Sus scrofa: one gene and its partner. The protein of the gene in region 1 interacts with the protein of each later gene in a pairwise test. Links are inferred from orthologs where the notes say so. Each region holds a gene or a part of one and is shown on either strand. Other genes may lie near its edges. The genes, in order: PRR13 and LGALS3.

Region 1 (4,536 bases):
GTTAAGGATCCAGTGTTGTCACTGCTGTGGCTTTGGTTACAGTGGTGGAGCAGGTTCAGTCCCTGGCCCAGGAATTTCTGCATGCCATGGGTGTGGCCAAAAATTAAAACAAACAAATATAACCATGTAATTTTTTTTTTTATTTTTAGGGCCGAACCTGCAGCATACGGAAGTTCCTGGGCTAGGGGTGGAACTGCAGCTGCTGGCCTATACCACAGCCACAGCAATGCAGGATATAAGCCCCATCTTCAACCTACACCATAGCTCATGTCAACACCAGATCCTTAACCCACTGCATGGGGCCAGGGAAACCCACATTCTCATGGGTAGTAGTCCAGTTCTTTTTTTTTTTTTTTTTTTTTTTTTTTGTCTTTTTGCCATTTCCTGGGCCGCTCCCACGGCATATGGAGGGTCCCAGGCTAGGGGTTGAATGGGAGCTGTAGCCACCAGCCTATGCCAGAGCCACAGCAACGTGGGATCCGAGCTGTATCTGAGACCTACACCACAGCTCATGGCAATGCTGGATCCTTAACCCACTGAGCAAAGCCGGGGATCGAACCCACAACCTCATGGTTTCTAGTCAGATTCGTTAACCACGGAGCCACGACGGGAACTCCAGTAGTCCAGTTCTTAACCCAGTGAACCGTGCAGGAACTCCTAACCATGTAATTTCGAATTTAAATAAATTTCTATGCTGAAATAAAAAAAGAAAACACGGTCACACCTATGATTATGCACAAACTTGTACACGAATGTTCATAGCAGCAATATTCATAATAGGCAAAACATAAAAACAATTCAAATGTCCATCAGTTAATGAATGGATAAACTAAATGTGGAATATCCAAATAGTGGCATATTATTTAGTACTTCCTTCAGAAAAAAGAATGGAGTTCCCTTGTGGCACAGGAGGTTAAGGATCCCAGGTTGTCACTGCAGCAGCTTGGGTCACTGCTATGGCAAGTGTTGACTCCTGGCTTGGGAACTTCCATATGTGGTGAATGAGGCCAAAAAAAAAAAAAAAAAAAAAGAAGAAGAGGCCATTGCAGCATTCCCGTTGAGATATGATGGTAGGCTGGAAGCAGAGAAGATTGAAGAGAAGTAGAGAAATTTCAGATTTATTCGTGAAACAAACGGACCCTTCCCGATGCTGGAGCGGGAAGAGGGGAAGGTGAAGGAGAGAGCCATCAAGGATCACCTCCGGCGTTTCTGCTTTGTGCAATTCGACAGATGGCGGAGCTATGTAGTTGATACAGGGAATCCTAGGAGAGATTAGAAATCTCTGTATTTCTCCCAAGAATGTTTCTTTACTTTCTATGGACGCTGACAGAGGCGGCAATATTGAGTTTTAGGGTGAATATCGGCAGCTCCCCGCCCTTCCTTAAGCTGTGTATATATATCTGTACAACATTTATCATGGTATATTTACTTTATAAGGTGTGGCACCCACTGGACTAAGAGCTCAGAGGTCAAGGGTTGAATTTCCTCTAGGTACTCACGAACTTGCTCTGAAGCTGGCCCCGCCCACCCATAGCCCCGCCCCCAGGCATTTCCGGCCCGCTCGCCCTCTGCACCGGCCTCACCCCAGAGCGCCCAGCTCCGCCCCCACTGCAACCATTGCCTTTTAGCCTAGTGGGGACTAGAGTGATTGACGAGCATGTTCTCCAATCCTAAAGCCCAATGTTGTTATATTACCAATTCGGAGGCAGCAGAGGCGGATGCCAAAGCCTAACGTGAGAGGGTGATCGGGAAGTGAGAGTGGAGGCTGCGGAGGACGCCTCCGCCCAGGCGGTGGTATAAAGCTGACGGGACGTCAGTATTCTGTTCCTTTCTTTCTCCATTCCTGGGTGAGACGCCCCTTCGTTGCTGGGGAGCCGGGGTCTCCACTTGCCTTTTTTAAAGGGTAAGAGGGTGTGTCTAACTATATAAGCGTTTGAGGATCTTTCCTGAGCTGCCTTACCTCCTTTCGCCTCCAGGCAGGTCCTTCTGTTAGCCTGGGGTGCGGGGTCCTGTCTCCCGTCACCCATCCTTGGGGATGGTGAAGTTGTTTCAGATCCCTCCGCAGCCTATGGTGGTTAAAGTCTTCCGGGCTCGGTCAAGGAAAGGGAGAGGAGTGATGGGGATAGCGAGATTCGCGCACTCAGCCCCTCTCCCGAGGAGTTAGAATCCGCAGCCAGAGCGAGTGGAAGGTGGAGGGAAACTAGGTATTGGGGGCGAAGGAGCGGGTGGAAGGAGACATTTCTTATGTAGCGAACCTGTTAGTTCCCTGGGAGCCTACAGTGGGGCAGGAGGCGTTGAAGTTGGGCTTGGTGTCTAAATCACCCACCCACTTCTGGGCCGTCAGCTTTTAACCTTCATTTCTTTCTCCTCAGGCTGGTGAAAACCCCTGAACATGTGGAATCCCAATGCCGGTAAGTGTTTGGGGAGAATCTCTTCTCCTGCCCCAGTCCCTTTTCGGATGGGCCACAACAGGAAGTTTGTGTCCGTTTCTCCTCCACCTCTGCCCTAACCTACAAAAAAGCAAAGTCCATAGCTGCCCAGTGTCTTCCCCCAGAGTTCACTGTCTCCAGGGAACGTTACCTTTTCTTTCTCTTGTATAGGTTTGTCTCCCCTCCCCTCCATGCTCCTCTTTCTTCAGCTTTACATTTTTTCCCCCCTAGGGCCACACCTGCGGCATATGGAGGTTCCCAGGCTAGCGGTCCAATCGGAGCTGTAGCTGCAACTGCGCCACAGCCACAGCAACGCGGGATCCGAGCCGCGTCTGCGACCTACACCACAGTTCACTGCAGTTCCTTAACCCACTGAGCGAGGCCAGGGATCGAACCCACAACCTCATGGTTCCTAGTGGGATTCGTTAACCACTGAGCCACTACAGGAACTCCTCCATTTTCCTTTAAGTATTGAGTGAAAAATGGAATCCCCTTCTTTTTGTTGTTTGTTGTCAGAAGCTCTGGGCAGTTCTAATCTTAAATTTATTCTTTGCTTTTTCCACCAGGGCAGCCAGGGCCAAATCCTTACCCGCCTAACGTTGGATACCCTGGAGGTTGCCATCCTACCCATCCACCATCTGCCAACCCTCCCTTTCCTCCAGGCCCCCTTCCCACTCCTCCAGGAGTGCCCCAGGGGAATCCAGCTTTTCCCCCTGGCGGGCCTTGTTATCCTGTGCCACAGCCAGGGCATCCAGGATGCCAGCCCTCAGGTCCCTACCCACCACCTGCCCCTTGCATGCCACCTGTGAATCCATTGGCTCCTGGCATGGTAGGACCAGGCATGGTGATGGACAAGAAGATGAAGAAGAAAATGAAGAAAGCTCATAAAAAGAAGCACAAACACCACAAGCATGGCAAGGTCAGTGCCCTCTGGAGCCTGGCTAGGAAGAGGTGCCCCCTCAGAAGGACTAGGGTGGCTGGAGGTGGGAAGAGAGGTAGGTGGCAGGGACAAGGAATGGGGATTCACAGTCTGAGGACTTGGGACAGGGCATTGTGTTACTCTGGCAGATGGTGCTTCCTTTTTGTAAAGGATTCCCACTGCGAAGAATTTAATAATCTTGAAAATAATTATTAGGCTAATTGGGCCTTCTGTCTGCCAGGGGCTATGTTGAGCCTTAGAATGGCTATCAGAATCAGGTGCTTTTCTTTTTTGCCTTTCTTTTCCCAGAGCTTTGGCCTCCCCACCCCCATGCTTGTTCTGGCAAGTGGGACACACCCACTGAGGTGGTCAAATGTCAAGACCTTTGGCCAAGCAAAGTCTTATGTAATGATAGATAATAATCTGGTCCTAGTTCCTGGAATTTCTTTCTCTCCTTCACTGTTCTCAGCTTGTTGTATTAATTACGTAGGTCTTCTTGTCCAGCAGGGAAACTGAGGACAAGAGCAGTCAGTGACTCAGGCTCCAATAAAACCCTCAATTTCGTGCTCAGTCTCAGGCTAAGTATCTTCATGCCAGAGGAGTGTAAATTAGCAAGTAGCTCTCAGGACCAAGTAGTAAAAGTAGCTCTCAGAACCAACTCTGGAAGAATTGAACCAACCTTGAGATATTTAAAAAAAATTTTTAGGGCCACACCTGAGGCATATGGAAGTTCCCAGGCTAGGGGTTGAATCAGGCACCACAGCCACAGCCATGCTAGGTGCAAGTGGTGTCTGCAGCCTACAGCGCAGCTCACAGCAACGCTGGATCCCTAACCCACTGAGTGAGGCCAGGGATTGAGCCCGAATCCTCATGGATTCTAGTTGGGTTTGTTACTGCTGAGTCACAACAGGAACTCCCTTTTTTCCCCCTTCTTCTTCTTTTTTTTTTTTTTTAATTTTTAGGGCAACCTTGATCTTAAGGAGGCCTTAATTTACATTTTTCTGCTTAGCAAATTTTTTTTTTTTTTTTTTTTTTTTTTGTCTTTTTGTCTTTTTTGTTGTTGTTGCTACTTCTTGGGCCGCTTCCGCGGCATTTGGAGGTTCCCAGGCTAGGGGTTGAATCGGAGCTGTAGCCACTGGCCTACGCCAGAGCCACAACAACGCGGGATCTGAGCCAAGTCTGCAACTT
Region 2 (4,364 bases), on another chromosome or scaffold:
CAGCTGACTACATGTCTTTGGTCCAAGCTCTGCTCAAAGTCTCCCATGCCCCCAGCGCTCTCTCTTCTCTCCTCTAAGCTGACCTACAAGCAGATCAAATGCTTCCTGTGCCATCATAGTGGGATCACATCCTGAAAGGGGCTGATCCCACTCTACTATTGAACTATTTCCTCATATTAGTACATTTTCTCCCAACTAGACTATCTAGAAGGGAAGGATCTGTGTCTGAGATGTGTCTGGGATCCCACAGAGTTATATTTTTATGCTTACAATTGATTTATTAAAATGGGTTTTACTATAAAATGAAAATTCAACCCTTAGATCACAAAATTCTCTTTAGAAGGTTTTTAAAAATGAGATTACCATGGGTCCTTCAAAGGGTCCCTCTAAGGCCATGGAAATGTGGTTTAACTCTTTATTGTACCATTTCTTCATTTTGTAAAGTGGTTTTAACAATAGTATTTTATGGGGAGCTTATGGGATTGAATGAGATCATCCATGAAGAGGTACACAGCTGGCACGTTACGTACCCAGTGTTTATTAACAATAGTAACAACCCACACCTCCCCCATTTCTATGACCTTAACTTGATTTATATTAAAGCTGCTTTACAGATGCCTTCAAAAGATACATTAGCTCCTCTTTGTACTAACAGTCCACATGCTTAAACTCAACAGGAACAACAGTCTTTTCTACTGGACCAACATACACTGTGGCTGGTGGTTGCACAGCGGTTCTAGGCAGTGAGATGAAAGCTTCAAGTCTCCCTGAAGCCCTTTGCAGGTCAGGGCCCAGGGAGCACTGCAAAGTGATGGCACCACCACCTCAGACAATTGCTACATTCTTCATTAGCTATGTCCCTATCACTATATCCAGGTGTGTGAAATGACCAATTCCTCTTACCAGTGGTCCAGAAGGGGCACCATAGGGGCCAGTGGCAGGGTAGGCTCCAGGAGCACTTGGCTGTGCAGGAGGCGGGTAGGCGCCAGGCCCACCTGGTTGCCCAGGGTAGGCTCCTGGTGCGGCTGGGCCAGGATAACCAGGTGCTGTTGGGCCAGGGTAGGCCCCTGGAGGTGCCTGTCCAGGGTAGGCGCCAGGAGGTGCCTGTCCAGGGTAGGCACCAGGAGGCCCCTGCCCAGGGTAGGTGCCAGGATAGGAAGCCCCTGGATAGCCTCCTGGCCCAGCAGGCTGGTTTCCCCATGCACCAGGCCATCCTTGAGGGTTTGGTTTTCCAGACCCGGATAAAGCATCGTTAAGCTGGAAAGAAAGACATAAACCATTACAGGATGAAAAACACAAAAACAGAATTTTCAGGTAAATAGGAATATGTAATCTAAGAATTAGAAGGATAGGGTGAAGCTATGAACTTCCTATGAATAAAATTTCCCCACCTATTCACTGAGTTCCTAAGACTAAAATTAGACTTTGGGATTATACCTGCTTTATCACTTTATTCTTGCCTCCCATCATCTCAGATCATTAGGGTTGCCTTTTCCTAAGTTGCTGAAGTTGGGAGCTAGCCATCCTCTATGTAAAAGCACATATGTTCTCACTGACATGAGGAAAATAATCACAAAATCAGGATGCTCTTGGGCTGCAAGAGCTCCACCCAGCTGGCCCTGGTTGCCTTGACCTTCCCATTGCTGGGTGTCTGCTGCACGACTCCAGCTAATGAGTGGCATCCAGGATAGAACTGGAGAAGCTGCCTTGTGCACAGGGAGGGGCCTGGGAAATAGAGTCATAAGATTTGGTTTGAAATCCAGTGCCATCCATCAAGACCTCCGAAGGCTTGGAGACATCATGTTACCTGGATAGAACTTAAGTGTCTTTGTTTGTAAAATGGGAGTAATGATCTCTTTCACGAAATTACTGGGATGAACAAGTGAGGCAGCATCTGGGAGGACTCCGTATAGACTGCAAGGTGCTGGGCCAGTGTTCGTTGGTGTCCTTTCTCTCCAGGAAGAGACACTGCCTTCTCCCTTCCTGTCTCCTATGGTATTTAGCAGAGTAATGTGGTATTTACGTGATACTCAGTAAAGATTGCTGTGTTGATTGAGTATCATCCATTAGGATTGTCTGATCTTTTGTGTTCTGGGGTTTTTTTGTTTTCTTTTTTGGCCATGCCCATGGCATGCAGGAGTTCCCGGACCAAGGATTGAAACCACACCACAGCAGTGACAATGCCAGATCCTTAACCCACTGTGCCACCTAGGAACTCTGACAGTCTGAACCTTTGATGCATTAGGAATCCAAGCCCAGACCTGGTATTAGAACAACAAGCCGAGGCTGTAAAGGGAGCCCAGGGGCCTGGGGGAAGGGGAGAGAAAATCAGAGGGCTTGATGAGGAAACGTAAACTGGATTTAGGAAAATAGACTCATGGCTGTAGGTGGGGTGAGTCATTCTGTTAATTTGGGAATACTAATGGGAATTTATTTTGACTGCTTCTTAGTTCAGCATTTGGGAAGGGAGGAGGGGTAGAGGGCACCACAGTATTAAAGAAAAAAATCAGGATGCTGAGACAGCCCATTGCTCAGTGGATTTCTTAGCTCCTGCCAGCAGAATCCACCCGCTTCTGTCCTAGGCAGTTCAGTAAAGGGGTTACTGTTAGTGAGGCCCAGGCCTCTCTGCCTGGCTTTCTTCCTGAATTTGTTGCTGGAAAAACACAACTCCAGCTAACGAGTGGTGGGAGAGTTAGATGGAAACTCTGGTGACTAAAAAGAAAAAGAAAAACAAACAAAACAAAACCCTCAACCTGCATGAATGTCTACACATGAAGGTAGGAAAACAGACATAAGACACTTACCGAAAAACCGTCTGCCATTCTCCTAAAAGGAGAAGGAAAAAAAAAAAAAAAAGAGCCACAGGTTATCATTTGATCCTGAAAGATTTTTGGTTTCTGCCTGAATAACGTCACAAACAGCTCACTAAGCAGGACTAGTCCATCTACAGGGATTCTAACACAAGCCAGTCTAGTCCCCAAATACACCTAAGTCAGTAGTGGGGAGCCACAAAAATGTCTCATTTCATCGTGGGGCGGGGTCGTGCTCTGCCTGGATTGCCACACCCTATTTAACTCAGAACTAAACTCTAATCACAAGAGCCTGTGGCCTGAATCACGGGAGTAACAGCCATGCTCTGCTGCCGGTGGGAGGGAAGGAGTGAAAGTAAACAGTTTCCTAGGTAATACGTGTTTGTCCTGGTTGTCTTTGGTCCCCCTTCACCTTCCTTCCTGTGCTCTCTTTCCACCACCTCCTAAAAAGTGTTCAGTGCATTAATATCACCCACCGCCCACTCCCCTGGTGAACAAAAGCCAGGGTTCCCGTGCCCTCCCCTGGGATTTAGGAGGAAAGCAGTTGGTTGATTCCTATATTCCCCACTTTCCCCCCACAAGACGTAGTTGCTGCTGTTGGTTTAGTCCTTCATTTGCATACATTTATGTCTCTTGTGGGCTCCTAACTGGGTTTGAAGATGGAGGCAGTCAACATGTATGGTCCCTTCACAGGCCAGACGAGGTGAAAGTGATTGACCCTGTGGGCCAGACCACATGCCATGGGAAGTCACAACTGGAAAGATTACTTCCAACAGGGAAAGGACAGTGTTGTTTGAGCTAAGCCTTGAAGGAAAGGTGAGACTGTTATGTGGAGCAATAAAGAGGAAAGATGGGCACAAGTTGCTTTTTTTCTTTTTTAAAAAAATAGTTGTTATTTCAAATGAAATCTCTCACAGTAAAATGAATGAAATTAAAAAAAAAAAAAGGTCAGACGATGCAGAGGAAACCATTTTGGGTAGGATGTTACAAAAGAGGGTCAGCCTTGCCCAACGTTGCCCCAAAGGGTAGCAGCGCTGATCCTGTCCACTGTCCCCACCCTCATGCCAAGGTGCCAAGTCCCCAACCAAACAGGATGTTTTACACCTGCTCTCACTGCTGGTGTTCTAGTGATGAGGGCAGAAGGGCAGCTTTGGACTCCTCAGGCCTGAATGAGTTGTCTTGACTCAAGATCAGCTGGGTATGGCCAAAATTACCCGGATCTTAAAACTATCAGAATCTTTTTCCTTAAGTGGCTTACTTGCCATAGTTCTGTTATTTGAAGAAACGAACCAATAAATGGTGGCTACTTGATGGGTTCTTAGGTTCCTTGATCGGCTCCCAAGAGGACAGAAACAAACCCCTCCCACCCCCCAAATATGGCTGTTCACCTTGGAGATCTGCCATGGACACCACTCCCAGAATGTGGATGCCCAAGTTGGGCAGCAAGAAACAATGGCAGAAAACAACTGCCCGCATAGATTAACCACCTGTAAGGATTAACTGCCCTCTGTCATGGAACTCAACCCCTACCCCTCCCTTGACCTTCCCCTCCTT

Evidence for each region.
Region 2: the proteins of PRR13 (region 1) and LGALS3 interact in binary tests that used the Homo sapiens proteins (3 or more experiments, as listed by UniProt). The two-hybrid records come from large-scale screens. The link is inferred for Sus scrofa from reciprocal best matches to the Homo sapiens genes PRR13 and LGALS3.

Annotation. Positions count from the first base shown.
Region 1 is NC_010447.5:18,659,132-18,663,667, forward strand, and holds the start of PRR13 (proline-rich protein 13), read left to right. Parts: upstream 1-1,682; 5' UTR 1,683-1,903; intron 1,904-1,959; exon of another isoform or gene 1,960-2,204; intron 2,205-2,372; 5' UTR 2,373-2,392; coding exon 2,393-2,411; intron 2,412-2,995; coding exon 2,996-3,424; intron 3,425-4,536. UniProt on the Homo sapiens protein: Negatively regulates TSP1 expression at the level of transcription. This down-regulation was shown to reduce taxane-induced apoptosis.
Region 2 is NC_010443.5:184,484,590-184,488,953, reverse strand, and holds the start of LGALS3 (galectin-3), read right to left. Parts: upstream 2,828-4,364; 5' UTR 2,823-2,827; coding exon 2,805-2,822; intron 1,258-2,804; coding exon 904-1,257; intron 1-903. UniProt on the Homo sapiens protein: Galactose-specific lectin which binds IgE. May mediate with the alpha-3, beta-1 integrin the stimulation by CSPG4 of endothelial cells migration.